Macaca fascicularis: one gene and its partner. The protein of the gene in region 2 purifies or fractionates together with the protein of the main gene of each other region. This does not show direct contact. Links are inferred from orthologs where the notes say so. Each region holds a gene or a part of one and is shown on either strand. Other genes may lie near its edges. The genes, in order: NAF1 and DKC1.

What was found.
Region 1: the proteins of DKC1 (region 2) and NAF1 purify together in Homo sapiens (co-immunoprecipitation; 7 studies listed by BioGRID and IntAct, counting the BioPlex papers as one, with this or other methods). This does not show direct contact. The link is inferred for Macaca fascicularis from reciprocal best matches to the Homo sapiens genes DKC1 and NAF1.

The regions. Positions count from the first base shown.
Region 1 is NC_088379.1:168,111,437-168,119,341, forward strand, and holds the start of NAF1 (H/ACA ribonucleoprotein complex non-core subunit NAF1), read right to left. Parts: upstream 5,218-7,905; 5' UTR 5,075-5,217; coding exon 4,704-5,074; intron 2,753-4,703; coding exon 2,578-2,752; intron 1-2,577. UniProt on the Homo sapiens protein: RNA-binding protein required for the maturation of box H/ACA snoRNPs complex and ribosome biogenesis.
Region 2 is NC_088395.1:160,881,933-160,889,857, reverse strand, and holds the end of DKC1 (H/ACA ribonucleoprotein complex subunit DKC1), read right to left. Parts: coding exon 7,910-7,925; intron 5,680-7,909; coding exon 5,561-5,679; intron 4,906-5,560; coding exon 4,802-4,905; intron 4,505-4,801; exon of another isoform or gene 4,376-4,504; intron 4,305-4,375; coding exon 4,226-4,304; intron 3,311-4,225; coding exon 3,173-3,310; intron 2,692-3,172; coding exon 2,623-2,691; 3' UTR 1,828-2,622; downstream 1-1,827. Other genes in the region: MPP1 (55 kDa erythrocyte membrane protein), read left to right, coding at 193-369.

The DNA of each region.
Region 1 (7,905 bases), on a different chromosome or scaffold from region 2:
TGTAAAAGAGACAGTGTGACTAGCCTTCATAGCTGCCTTCGTTCCCAGATGCTTTCTAATAAACCTCCAGTTCTCCTGAGGTAATATGAGTCTCTGTTCCTCATAACAATGAGTCCAACATAAATCATACATGATAACCATTTCCAAGTATTTCCATTGCCCTCCATAGAGTATAACCCATTATTACTGTCTGTCTAGCATCCCCTTTTGGAATGGATATAAGCTCCCTTTCCTGTGAAAGATAAACCATTCCATGTGGTTTATATAGGGGCTGATATTACACCCAACATCCCACCCTCCTCACAATACATACACATTCACACTCCCTTTCTGTCAACTAGCTCTTACAGACTTCCACCCTCTCGCACTAGCGTATGTGCTTTCAAGTGTTCATTTTCCTACACATGCTCTCCTCACTCTCTCCTACACACTCGCCTACACAAACAGGAGTGACTACGTGACTCACAGCCAAGCAATCTGAAAATCCATTCCACTAGCCTCAATGATCTGTTCAAGGCTGTGTAACAGAGCATAGGCCAGCAAAAGTCATCTCCATGACTTTCATGCAAGAGTCTGTCAGTGGTCAAAATGCCAGCCCTGAGAAAGAGGCAGACTCTTAAAACACACTACATACCTGTAACTATACACTATCTTTTGTACTCAGGACAAAGCCATTCTTTTCCCCCAAACTTAAGATTTGAAACCCTGAAGAAGTCCTTATATCTTCTTTCAGACCTATAAGCCAGAGATTTAGTGCAGACTGGGAAACTAACTCATCAATTCCTCTACCTATCTCTAGTAGCACAGTGGTCTGAAGGACTTCTAATAAGTTTCCCAAATAAAGACTACAATTCCCTCTTCCATCATTCCCAAATATCCATTGAAATGGTCTCAGAAAGGAACAGACCAACCCATCATTCCAAGTTGGAAAATCTAACAACATTCAAATGGAATTTTGTCTTTTGAGGCAAACATAACACTCACACAATTCAATAGCACTTTTAGCAATTAAATTTGTTTGTCTCCACTTTATTTACTGTCTGTGTCCCTCCATTAGACACTACAAGAGCAGAAACTGGATTGGTCTTGTTTACAGCACCTGGCAAATGGCAGGTGTGCTATAATAATTTCTTAAAGAATTAATAAATATAAAATGCCTTACACTCATTCTATAATCATAAATTACTTTGGCCTGAGAACTCATTATCTGTAAAGCACTCCACTGGGTACTATGGGAGTTACAAGGATCACATATGAACTCAGTCCTCAAAGAACTTGTTCCTAGACTCCCTGTGGCCACAAATCCTTTGTGATTTCCTGATGAAAACAGGGACATTCTGTTCAGAAAAAAACACCTAAACAAATACGCTAAGACTTTGCATTAAATCTGAAGAAATTCCCAAGGTAAGAATTCCAAATCTAGTAAGATAAGACAACAATATGCATGCATTTACAGAAGTACTGTGGTCTTTTCTTTGTTGGTTATTATAGTCTAAAAGGAACTTATGTAGACAGGTGATCAAGAGACAAGCAAAAAAGACGAAACAAGTCTCCTACTTTCAGAAAATAGTTATGTTGGTAGCCTTTGTGTACAAAGACCACTAAGAAATATTAACGTATCTGTAGCACGAAAATATGAGCCACTGATGAAGCTGCATACAAATCCAAAGATTTTCAATGTATAAAGCATAAGCGAGATAAGAATTTCTTGTTATCAGTAGAGAAAAAGAGAAATAATTAAGACTGGTAGAATCCATTCATGAAAAAGGTTCCTGAGTGCCTGTAGGCTTTATTTTTTCAAATCTTGCATTAAACTATCTCATCAATGTAAATGTTATATAAGAATTATGATTAGTGACCATTAAATATTTTTAAAGCATTAATAATTAAAAGTATATGCAGAGGCGGAAAAAAAAAGTGGTAATATAGCCTACGTTCTGAAATTCTGAGACTTTCCTCCTGGGTTATAGGTTTCAATCAGACTAACATCATCCTCCTAAGGATGTTTACAGCGTAAGAGGAAATAACCTTGCAAGAGTTAACTTTGCAAACCAAACCTATCAAGTGCCAATAAACAACCATTCTAAAATTAACAAGTTTTCTCCAACTGTAATAATAAAAACACTCCAAAAACTTCAATAGGAATCCAAACAAGCTCAACCCTTTGAATTTCACCTTCTACTTCTCTAAATGCAGTCAATTAAAAAGAAAATTTCAATTGCTATTGGGCAAAATTTTCTGACTTGCAGACCCTAAAAAAAAAAAAAAAACCACCAGAAAGCAAATCGACATAAGAAATATCTTTTTCTAGGAAATGTAAGAAATGTAAAGTTCAAAGCTGAAGTTGAGCCACAATCGGAAAAATTATCAAATGTCAGCAGAGTTAGAGGTAACCTAAGAAATTATACAGATCACTACTCTTTTATATAAGAAAGCCAAGGCATGCCAAAAGCATGCCGGTTAGGCTGAGAATGAACTTCAAATTTATGGAGCAGATACAGGCAAAATTAGAACAATATCGGTACCAGAATATGTTTTAAAACATGCCAACTAAACTTAATACATCTAAGTACTTACATTAAGAAGTAATTCATCTTTTGTTTTAAGAGGAAAATTCTTATTTTCCTTCTCAACTTGTAAGTCATCATCTCCATCTGACAGCACTGGAGGAAGTGATATACAAGAGGAAGAAGATGACGATGAGGAAGAGGAGGAGGAAGACGATGAGCTTGAACTATCTGAATCTGTTTCACTGTAGAGAAGAAAACAGTTAAAAAAAAAAGTCCAGTATTATTATGTATTAAAATAAGATTATTCAATTAAGAAATATCAACTTTAATACATGTTTATTATTGCTTATTCTAACAATATTAAAATAAGATGATTCAATTAAAACATATCAACTTTACTACATGTTTACTACTGCTGTTCTAATTCAAAAGCTAGCACTTCAAAGCTGATATGGTATTGGGAAAGTAGTCTTTACATTTTCAAACCTCTGCTATAACCCAGTTTCTCTTATTACAATAGTCTCACATATCATACACGTGAGTATAAGCAAGCATGTGACAAATCACTAAAACAAGGGAATTCTGGGCATGGCACCTCTCTTAGACACCAATAACCAGATCGCTTAATTGCCAGATCGCTTGAGTTTCTTCTCAGTCTACAGACAACTTGGGAAATCCTCAGTTACTAAAGTATGTAGACCGTTCTACTTTCTGAAAACTCATTTGGTCCTTATCTTCCACAGAAATTATCGTTAACAGAAACCACTGTCTCAGTTTAAATTTTGTTTGTTGGCTCCTCACTTCAAGCCTTTTTATATATTATTTTTAAGGGTTCCATCCTCACTTTCTCTTCTTTCTGTACTACTTTCATGGATAATCCCGTACATGTTAATGATTTCAATCATCATCCATGTGACATTAACGCCTAAATTTTAGGCTATGACGTCTCTAAACTTCATGTCCAATCTCTGACGGCATATTGGCCACTTTTGTATGAACGGCCTATACACCCACACTCACAGCAAGTTAAAACAAGAAAAAGTGCATTATACTAACGAAACCTGCTTCTCCCCGTCAGTTTCCATTTGATTCCACTGCTGTTAACTGGCAAAAAGTTGTACCCCTTTTGACTTCTTCAAATATTTGGTATCCTCTGCCATCACCCACAAAGAGTCAGAAGCAGTATCCTGACACTAAGTTGGCCTATTATGAAGCCATATCCCTTCTGCTTTCAAAACGTATCCCCAAATCATCTACCATTTACTTTTCTTTGCTAGTACAATGAGCTCTGAAATCCCACAAGATGATTATACCGCAATCTTAGTACTGCCAAGAAATCCAACCTTGTCTACAGTTGTTACTTCCCCCTCCCAGTCCATTTCATACCCTTCTCCTACCTTCATGCCTTCTTCACTCCCACTCTGCTGACGACTTCCCTAAAAACTAAACTACTCACCTCCTCAACACGTGTCTATCTTGTTAACCTGTTCAGTACCCCACTCAACACACTCAACCATTTGTAGACAATGTTCAGTGTTGTTTAGTAACATCCCACATGCCGGAGTCCTCTCCAGCCCAGAGGTTTCATATTTAAAAGACAGAAGTGGGGGCAAGGGGGAAAGGCTCTCGCAAAACGTAAGAAGCATAAAATACTACTAAATAACACTGTTTAGCTACTTTCATAAACACGTGTTCCCTAAAACGATTCTACAAATTAACGTAATCGTCAAGAGCCAGCTCTGAAACACACAAAATAATCCTTTTCCTGATCCTCAATGTATGTGGTTCAAAAAACAAAGCCTACATGTGATGGGAAAAAAAAATCAGATCTGACACAAAACTCAATTATAACCACAAAAGTACAGCCTGAACTGAGTAGTTACGGAAACAACCTAAGATCCTCGGGTTTTCTAAAGTCTAACTAAAAATGATACGATCTATACATAGAACTCTTCAGGCTACCAAATTTAGGAAAGTAGTGAGTACTAAGTTCAGATTCACAACGCGACCTGCTCTGAGAGGCAGCGAATAAAGGGCAGTCGCAGCCAATACTTCAACACATGAGACCGGAGCACCAGCGACCTGCCCACCCTCCAGGGCCCACACGGGCAACCTCTAGGCTCCTAGGCCCCGGCCACCCCGCCCGTCATACAAGACCTTTCCCCACAGCTCCGGGTCCCTTAGGCACCCGACCTGTCCGAGTCCGAATCCGAATCCGAGTCCGAGGTCTCCAAGGAGTTCGGGGCCCCCGCAGGCTCTCTGGCTCCTGGAGAGGTGACCCAGCCTCCGCAGGCCGGCGATTCAGCTGGCGGCTGCGGCTGCGACGCTGGGGTCCCGGCCGCTACTGCGTTCAGAACGGCCTGCAGAGGCTGCTCACCGGCAGTCTTAACCTCCACGGTCTGCCCAGTGTCCGGGGACCCCTCAAACGACTGTAGCGGCGGCTGTGTCCCTGGCGCAGGGGCAGAGCCCGGAGACGTCGCCGCCGGACCTTCGCCAACTCCGAAATCGGTGCCATTGAATTTCAGAGTTTCCAGCTGAGCGACGGCGGCCTCCACTACCTCCATCACACCGCGCCAGGCACCGAGTCGGCCTCAGGATTTGAGACCCCACACAAGCTTACGGCTCTCTCCAGAAATAATAAAACAACTTAGGCAACCGAAGCAACAGTCCGTGGCCCCAACTTCCCGCGTTTCTCAGGTAACTACACGCGGAGGAGCCAAAAGACACGCCCCCGCCGTTTACGCAGCAACGCTTTCCGAATAGCGTGTGACGTATGTGGCGCGACGGCGCGACGGCTCGACGGCCCTCCCCGGGAACCGGACACATGCGTCATACCTTTGAAAATCAGGACTAGGAGGTGCGGAGTGGTGACTGACGCCTGTAATCCTAGCACTTTGGGAGGCCGAGGCGGGCGGATCATAAGGTCAGGAGTTCACAGACCAACCTGGCCAATATGGTCAAACCCCATCTCTACTAAAAATACAAAAATTAACTGGGCATGGTGGCGCGTGCCTGTAATCCCAGCTACTTGGGAGGGTGAGGCAGGAGAATCGCTTGAACCCAGCGGGCGGAGGTTGCAGTGAGCCAAGACCGCGCCACTGCACTCCAGCCTGGCAACAGAGCGAGACTCCGTCTCAAAAAAAAAAAAAAAAAAAAAGAAAGAAAGAAAGAAAAGAAAAAGTCAGGGCCGGGGGGTGGGGGTGCGGGGGAGGTTCTAAATCGACCGTTTTCACTGCCTCATGTGAACCATTCAAGGCCCGAATGTCGGATTTTCATATTGCTGAACGTGAACCAATTCTGCTTGAAGCGCCAAAATAAAGCAGGGATTATACAACAGGGGAGATGCCTGAAGAGTGGTAGGTCCTGTACATGAGAAACTTGAGTCAGGAAGCCTTGAAGTTAAATGAAGTTTATCCATCAATAGATCCATCTGTCAATAAATAGAACTTTAACCATTTTTTCAAAAAGGTAACTACAACTATTCCATTTTCCTTTCTCCAAGGTACCCTCAAAGAGAGTAGTAATGGTCAAAATTTTGCTGTCTTGTTCATGTTATGGTGATGTCTATATCATACCTGGCACTGTTTCGTGGTAGAGAGATGAGACTATGAGACTGAAATGTACTCACTTCATATTGGAAACCACTAGTCTAAATTGTGGAGAGAGCCAGTAGAGTTCTTAGGACTGAGGAAGAGATCAGAATTTTCTGGTTTCCTATTAGGTCTTCAATGTGATGCATCAGTCCCTGCGTAATAATAATAATCATTGGTACCATTTGTTAAACAGGCATATGTGCCAAGGACTGTGCTAAAGATTTTATAAATTATTCACTGAGAATTTAGTGTGCCATCTACAACAGTAGATCTTCATAGAAATGCAAGGCAAGTGTAATAAGAGTAAGGTTTTAAGAAGCTTACAATCTACTTGAAGTAGAGAAGGGCAATGCACAGGAGATAACTAGAAAAATATTTGAAATATGAAATAGAAAATCCAAGTGTAGCAGAAATGGGAAGTAGGATTGATAGGCTATATCATGGAAATCCTCCAAAGTGAAGAAGGATTTTAAACTTGGTATACTAACTTACTAGCATAATGATTAAGCAGAGCTCAGAGTTTTCAACTAAAAAGACCTGTGTTCAGGTCTCAGCTCTACCATTGTGTGATTGGTGTAACTGACTTTGGGCAGGTAACTTAAATCTTAATTTCCTTTTCAGTAAAACAGATAAAAATACGAACTACCATTTTGTGATTGGTGTAACTGTGACTTTGGGCAGTTAACCTAAATCCTAATTTACTTATCTGTAAAATGGAGATAAAAATACTCTCATTTAGTTCATGTGAGCATTAAGTAAGGTTTTGTATAAGGGAATGGCATGTCATACACTCGGTGTGCAAAAATACTTGGAAAATGGAACAGTGCGTGAACTCATGAATAAAATATTTCGTTAGCAATGATCTTGCAAAGACATGCAGTACAGATTTGAGAAGGGAAGACATTTGAGCCAGAATTTTCCCCAGCCAGCCACTTTGTTGCATTTTTCCAGGAATTAGGTGATAAAAATCTGAACTAGGGTTACAGTCAATGAAATAGAGTAAAGGAAATCCCCAGTATCAGGGGAAGAATAATAGTACTCTAAAATTTCTGGTTAAGGAAATTAGAAAGAAGTTGGTATTACCAATAAAAATGGAGAAGTTGGCCAGGTGCAGGGCCTCACGCTTGTACTTCCAGCACTTTGGGAGGCTGAGGTGGGCAGATCACCTGAGGCCAGGAGTTTGAGACCAGTCTGGGCAACATGGCGAAACCCCATCTCTACTAAAAATACAAAAACTTAGCTGGGCGTGGTGGCAGGCACCTGTAATCCCAGCTACTTGGGAGGCTGAGGCAGGAGAATGGCTTAAACTCAGGAGGCAGAGGCTGCAGTGAGCTGAGATTGCGCTGTTGCACTCCAGCCTAGGCAACAAGAGGGAAACTCCCTATAAACAAATAAATAAAATGGAGAAGTTGGAAAGAGATGTGGGTATGTGAAGTTGAGTCTGAAGAAAAACTAGACAATTAAAAATGTCAGTAGGCATTTAAAAATAAGAAACTGGAATTTGACAGAAATGTTAAGACCAGAAGCATAAGTTATGGGATAACTGAAATACTCATTTGTTCGTTCAGTAGTCATTTTCTTAACATTAGTATATGCTGTGCACTGCATTATGAACTATGCATTCAGGAAGATAAACACAGTCCCTACCCTTATGGAGTTAACAGTTCAGTAGAAAAGACAAGTTGAAAACAAGCAGAAGGTACTATAGTAGAGAAATGTACCATGTAAATGCAAGGATGTATGAAATAGGAAAACTAAAGACAGAAGATACTTGGAAAATTAAGGAAAATATACTATAAGAG
Region 2 (7,925 bases):
AATTGCCATGGTCTTTTGAGATTGCCTCTTCATGCCCTATATTAACATTCTTTCACAATGTCTTCCAAGTTTGACTCTTCAAGTATGATGCACAGCTGAGCAGCGCTAACAATTGCTCTTTAAAATCTGTCACTGGCCTCTCTGGGCTGGGGGTGGTGCAGCTTGCTTCATCTGTGGCTTTCTTCTTTGCAGACAGAAGCCCTGCAGCAGCTGCAGAAGGACTCTGAGGCCATCCGCAGCCAGTACGCTCACTACTTTGACCTCTCACTGGTCAATAATAGTGTTGATGAAACCCTTAAGAAATTACAAGAAGCCTTCGACCAAGCGTGCAGTTCTCCACAGTGGGTGCCTGTCTCCTGGGTTTACTAAGCTCATAGAATGGGGGAACCCACTGTATGCCCCTCTCCAGCATTTGGAACTCCACCCCCCTTGCTTTAAGACAAACAGGGCTGCTCCAACTAGTTTTGTGTCAGCTTCCAGCTCTCTGCTGCTATCCTAATTAAGCCAGTAGGGTTCAGTCTTCTTGCTCAGGCTCCTGAAGGGTTGGGATTTGATTTTCCTGATAGATGGGGCCCCAGTAATCTGGATTTCAAAAGGATTTCTAGAAATTGGGGGTAAGCAGTACTACCAAAACGTAACTGCTAGATCAAGGATGATGCACAGCAAAAGCAACGACCCCATCCCTCTAAAGCCTGCCCTCCTTTGCCTTCAACTGTATCTCGTTTGTCTTTTTATTTTGGAGAAAGCGTTTTTAACTGCAACTTTCTATAATGCCAAAATGACACATCTGTGCAATAGAATGACGTCTGCTCTAGGGAAACCTTCAAAAGCAATAAAAATGCTGTGTTAAAATGCCAATGACCTTGTAACTCTGGGTTTCCACACAAAGAAATGTGGTCCATTTCACTTAAGCTCCTGGACAACGGCATTAACACAAGATGATAAACACCAGTGCCCTGGAAGAATCCCCATTCTCTGTGCCCCCACTGCAGGTCTCTACTGGCTAGTGCCCATGTAGAAAAACACCCTAAGGTTGTCATATCTGGAGGAAAGCCCATTGTGGGCACATATTTAGAGAAAATCCTAGCCTGGGGTCCTGTGGTACAGTGGAGGCTGGTCACTGAGCCAGGGCTGGGGTCCACTCTGCACGCCTGGCTCATAATGTGGCTACAGCTCAGGGCCTCTCCTCACTGCATCCAAGGACTCCCCCAGGAAGCGACACTTTTTTTCTTTTTTTGAGACAGTCTCACTGCTTTGCCCAGGCTGGAGTGCAGTGGCAGGATCTCGGCTCACTGCAACCTCCACCTCCCAGGTTCAAGGGACTCTCCTGCCTCAGCCTCCCAAGTAGCTGGGATTACAGGTGCACACCACCACACCTGGCTAATTTTTGTATTTTTAGTAGAGATGGGTTTTGCCATGTTAACCAGGCTGGTCTCAAACTCCTGACCTCAGGTGATCTGCCTGCCTCAGCCTCCCAAAGTTGATGGGATTACAGGTGTAAGCCACCACACCCGGCCTCTTTCTTGGCTCTTAATACCAAATTGGAAGCAACCCTAGACCTTTCTTCCACTAATCTGTCACCAAGGCCTTCAGATTCCTGAATGTCCCTAACTTTCAGCTTCCTTCTCCCGACTCACCCTGCCTCCCTCCTGCCAGGCCCACTATGTATAAATACATCAACCCTCTCCTCTGTTCTTCTACAGATCACTGGTTTTGTGGTAATCACTGCCTGAGTACTCACATCAGATGACAGGGCCCAAGGTGAACTGTGTAAGATACAGAACGAAAATGTAAAAGCCAGAAAACATAAAAGCATCACACTTCAAATAGAACATAAAGGTCCCTAGATTTTTAATCAAAATATTTTACAATTTTTGCTCTGCTAGCATGAGATCACCAACAAGAAAACCCAACAGGAATACATTAAAAACTTAACAAATTGACTTTAATAAGTAAAAATTACAACATTCTTCTCCCAGCAATGAACAATTTCATTCTTTAAAAGTAAACGAGGCCTAAAACAAGACGGCACAGGAACAAGTAGTCAGATGGATTTAGGTGAACACTGTACAGAAGCTTTGAGGAAGTGCAAAGGACTGACCTCTAGGCCAGAACAAGATGGAAAACCACCAGGCCCGTCAGACACCAGCATGGACAAAACTCAGTTATACTGAATTCAGAGACAAAATTCAGTGACACTCTTCTATCACTTATTTACGGTTCTACACCATTTCACTGAGCAGACTTAGTTTTTTGTTTTGTTTTACAAACCTTATAAACAGAGGGGATAAAAAAATGCAAACTAGGACTATGATGTTAAGACAACCACTAGCAGACAGCTGCGGACAGTTACTGGGTCTGAAGGTGAGGCTCAAACCGAGAAGTCATTGGGATAAACTCTGCCTCTTTCATCACCCATATCCTTAAAACAGGACAAGATGGGATGACCACACCAGGTAACATCACCGAGGTCTCAAAGTAGCAGCTAAAATGTGCCGGAACTCTTCACCCTGTCTAGGACCTATGTTCCACTCTCTCAGCAACAAAAGGATCTATAACATGTTTTCTTAATAAGGCTTTAGTTTCTCCTCCAGCTGGACACAATGCTTCAAGTGGCCTTCACTACTCAGAAACCAATTCTACCTCTTTTGCTTTCTTCTTCTTCTTCTTCTTCTTGGTGGTATCACTGTCCTAGAAAGAAAGAGAATGAAAGCTTATAGATACCATGGGATCCACTAACAAAGCTATCACTCTCCCAGAAGGAAATCTGGTAAAGGTCCACAGTCAAGCAAGCCTTTTTTCAGGACCTGTAAGGATATTTTGGGTTAAATACTACATGTGACACAAAGTTCTGCGAACCTTTCAGTGACACCCTAGTGGTCTACTTTTGGAAGTAGAAACATTCAGATCACCATCCTACACATCCTCTCCACCCCACCGTCAATAGAGCTGTAAGTGTAAGTGGTAGATGCCGAGTACCTCTATCTGTCCATTCCACAGGGAGGGCAAAAGCAGTCCAGGAACATGGGGAAGCACTAAAGGCACTCAGTCGCATGCCACCCCCAGGCCACAGCTCCTCCAAGAAGAGTAACAAAGCTGGTACCACCTGGGTAATTCTTTCCCCATGGAGGGACTAAGCCAGCCCAAGGAACCTGAACATATCTCCACACACCCCATCTCCAGGCTCGGCCCCGCTCTCCAGACCAGCCTTGGCCTTCTTGTCCTTCTTACTCTTCTTCTTTTCCTTCTTGATCAACTGAGGAGCTGCTGGAGGGGTCTCGTCACTTTCACTGTCACTCTCTCGCTTCCGCTGAGATGAAAGCAATTGGTTAAGTGTTAGATATTGGGCAATAATGGACAAGAAAGGTTCAGTGAGTCAAAAGGTAGTGAGGCACCGAGAAAGATCCCAACTGAATCCAACAGGACGTTTTGTGACTACAAACCCGGACAAGGCTTTAGTTTACTGAGGATTTGAAGACAGTCTCATCCCCCAAATCCAAGAAGCCTTGAGGCAGGCAGAGAGGAGCAGCACAGCAGCAGCATGGGGCTTGGGGATGGAAAGGCCCAGAGAAGCTGTTTCTTTCACGACTGCAAGGACCTCTCACAGAAAGCAGGCAAAGCAAGAATTCACATCTGACAAGTCAGAAGCTCCTCCCACACAGCCTTGTGCAGGATACTCAGTACCGCCCCCCGTTTCTGAGTACAGACCTGTCATTCTGTGCACTAATGCCAGCAGCAACATGGGGTGGAGTTGCCACCCCATGCTTGACTGACTCTTTCAACACCAGGTGGTGCCGAGTTAAAATGCAATTCTGTTCTCTGCTGAATTTCGTATGGCCTCGAGTGTCCAAGAGCCATGGCCTCTGATTTCAACACATGTGTCCTACCATTTGACCCAGGGCGGGGGCCAGAATGACACACACACCAGCACCCATTCTATCCCTGTGTTGCTGCCATAGCTGAGGTAGGAGTCGAGGCCGATCTGATTCCTGAGCCCACATTCCTCCTCCCAGCAGATACGACAGGGAATACAAATCAGAGGAGCCTGCAGAGCCCAAACAAGCACCCCAGGGTATAAGGCAGCATTACCTGTGTATGCACTACACCTCTGACGCCAGGGTATATGGCTAGACTGCAGACAGTCACAAAGTAAGACGAATGCCAGTGCCTCTTAGGATTATCTCCCTAAGCACATTCCAAACTGATTACAGCATATGCCACTCACCTTCGCAGTTTTTGCTGCTTCGGCAACTACCTGCGGGGCTTTTACCACTTCAGCAACCACCTCTTTTTTGGCAGTCTCACTGAAAGAGAAGAGGTAGCAATAAGTCAAATTCACTGAATGGCTTTCCAGGGCAGTACTGATGTTATGTAGTGTTATCTGGCAAGTCTCAAACCACCATCAAAATACTGACGCTGGACAGAAGAACTCACCACTTACTGTTGCAGACTGAATCCCTCTAGAGTCCCACGAGCCAGACTAGAAAGGGGTAACTGTCTGCCGTGCAGGCCCACACCCCTAACTGGCCTGGGCAGCCAAGACTTCATGGGAGCCAAAGAGCTGGTTCCTGTGGTCCTGCATTTAGCAAGTTTGCCCCAAACCAAGTGACTCCCCCTCCCCTGGGCTCTACAACCTCCGTGCTCACCTGTCCCTCACCTGTCGTCTATGTACTCCTGCATCCAAATGGCAAGTGGGCACTCTCTACCCTCCCATCCTCACCTGTTGTTGACGTACTCCTGCATCAAGGCAGCATGTGTGCTGTCTCTACCCACCCCTGGCTCTGAAACATCCTGCCCTCACCTGTAGTCAACATACTCCTGCTTCCAGGTGGCAGGCGTACTCTCTGTGGGCTTCCCGTACTTGTCCAGAAGGCCCTGCTTGATCATCAGCTTCTTCTGACTTGCCTGGTGGAACATCAAGGTGTCAACATTAGAATGGTGTCAATGCGGAAGCGGGCATGGTGACTGCAAAGAATAGAACAAGGTTCCTCCCTGGTGTATTCTCAGCAGGGCCTCAAACTCCTCTCCAGAGCATTCAGAATTCGCCCACTAACTCCAACACACAGAGGACTTGTTGAAGGTCACAAAGCTTATTAGTGAGAGCCTCTGCAGACATATGTCCCCACCACAGCCACTCTACTCTTTTGCCTTTGCACATGCTGCTTGCTGCCTCCCACTGCCCTGAACTCTCCCCTCCCCTCTTCACTTCATCAACACCTAATCCACTCTTCACACTGGTGTGGCTTAACAGATGATCTCTTGCCCAGACTCCTTGAGCACTGTGGACACTCCAGGTGACAGCCACCTCTCTGCACTTCTTGGTAGCCACTAACATGAATGAAATTTGCCATTCCACTGTGTGATTACGTAAGTAATGCCCAACTGTTTCCCCTCAGACTGAAATCTCTAAGGCCCAAGACAGGGCCTGTTTCCACTCATCAACAATCCAGAGCCCAGCACAATACAAGGCTGTGGTGGTGAAATACACCAATAGCTGCCCAAGTATTCAACAATGCCAAACAAAAGAACCTGGCAGAGCACGCAACCCAGTACCACTTACCTTTGGACCTAAACCCCACTTCCGAGGGTAAGTGTCTCTCTCCATGATCACTCTCTTGATCTTTGCTACTATACCATGATCGCAGGTAGAGATGACCGCTGTGGTCATTAACGCAATAGCTACAGGCATTGAATAAAGAAAAGAATTATTTGAAGGGGGAAAGAATTGATAATTGATGAGCCCCAACTCTACTGTTGTATGCCACTTTCAAAACTCTGAGCTCTACTACTTTAATTGGGGTTTCCTTTGCTCAGGATATGCATATGGAAGAAATCCCCCATTATGAGAAGGAGGCTTCTGAAATGATGTTAAACTTCTCAAGTTAAAAAACACCTAACCAAAGCACCTAACGATACACATAACAGGCTTGCAGCTCAAGACATCTATAGGAATGGCATGCACACTCCCTTTGCGGCCACAGAACCTTTGAAGTTTTAAGGATTCCTTTTCTGCTGCTGTCCATAGGCCATGGCTGGCCTGCCTGCTCACAGAGCTAAGGAATCCTGATGACATGCTTACTTCTGGTACATATTGGACCCATTAAATGAATAGCTCTAAGGTTCATTCGCTAAGAGGGTGCAGAGCATTTAAAGTCTTAAGAGACAATCCAACAGTAGCTAAGCTTTCACGAGTTAAAAAACACTGGTACTTTACATGGAACCACAAAAGACTCAAACTAGCCAAAGTGATCCTAAGCAAAAAGAACAAACCTAGAGGAATCACATTACCTCACTTCACATTATACTATAGAGCTACAGTAACCACAATAGTATGGTACTGGCATAAAAACAGGCACATAAACCAATGGAACAGAATAGGGAACCCAGAAACAAATCCACACAGCCACATTGAACTCATTTTTGACAAAGGTACCAACAACATACACTGGGTAAAAACCAGTCTCTTCAATAAATGGTGCTGGGAAAACTAGATATCCATATGCATAAGAACGGGACAAAATATCCGCAAACTACCCATCTGACAAGGGATTTATAACCAGAATATATAACGAACTCGGCGCTATAGGAAAAAAATCTAATAATCCAATCAAAAAACAGGCAAAATATTTGAATAGACACTTCTCAAAAGAAGATAAATAAATGGCAAACAGGCATATGAAAAGGTGCTCAACGCTGATCACCAGAGAAATGCAAATCAAAACTACAATGAAACATCATTTCACTCCAGTTAAAATGGTTTATATCCAAAAGACAGACAATGACAAATGCTGGAAAGGATGTGGAGAAAAGGGAACCTTTGTACATTGTTGGTGGGAAGGTAAATTGATACAACCACTATGGAGAACAGTTAGGAGGTTCCTCAAAAAACTAAACTGAGCTATCATAGGATCCAGCAATCCCACTGCTGGGTATATACCCCAAATAAAGGAAATTAGTGTTATCAAAGAGATCACAATAGCCAAGATTTGGAAGCAACCGAGGTGCCCATCAACAGATAAATGGATAAAGAAAATGTGGTACATATACACGATGGAATACTATTCAGCCTTAAAAAAAAATGAGATCCTGTCATTTCCAACAACATGGATGGAACTGAAGATCATGTTAAGTGTAATCAGTCAGGCATAGAAAGACAAACATTGCATGTTCTCACTTATTTGTGGGAGCTAAGAATCGAAACAATTGAACTCGTGGACAGAGAAGAGTAAAAGAACGGTTACCAGAGACTGGGAGGGTAGTTGGAGGCTGGCAGGGAGGTAGGGATGGTTAATGGGTACAAAAAAAAAAATAAAGGCAGATCACCTGAGGTCAGGAGTTCAAGACCAGCCTGACCAACATGGCAAAACCCCATTTCTACTAAAAATACAAAAAATTAGCCAAGTGTCATGGTGTGCACCTGTAATCCTAGCTACTCGGAAGGCTGAGTCACGAGAATTGCTTGAACCTGGGAAGCAGAGGTTGCAGCGAGCCAAAGTCACGTCACTGCACTCCAGTCTGGGCGAAAGAGCAAGACTCTTGTCTTCTTAAAAAGCAAAAACAAAAACGAAACACCAACAACAAAAACAAAAAAATCAAATGAATGAACAAGACGAGTAAGACCTACTATTTGATAGCCTACTATTTGATAGATTATAGTCACAGGGTGACTATAATCAATAGCTTAAGTGTATATTTTAAAATAACTAAGGTGATAGATAAATAACTAACAGTAAAATAGGATTGTTAGTAACACAAAGGAGAAATGCTTAAGATGGACGCCCCATTCTCCACGATGTGATTATTATGTATTGCATGCCTGTGTCAAAACATCTCATGAACCCCATAAATATATACACCTACTATGTAACCACAAACATTTACAATTTAAAAAATAAACATCCCCTCTTACCCATGCAGATTGCCTC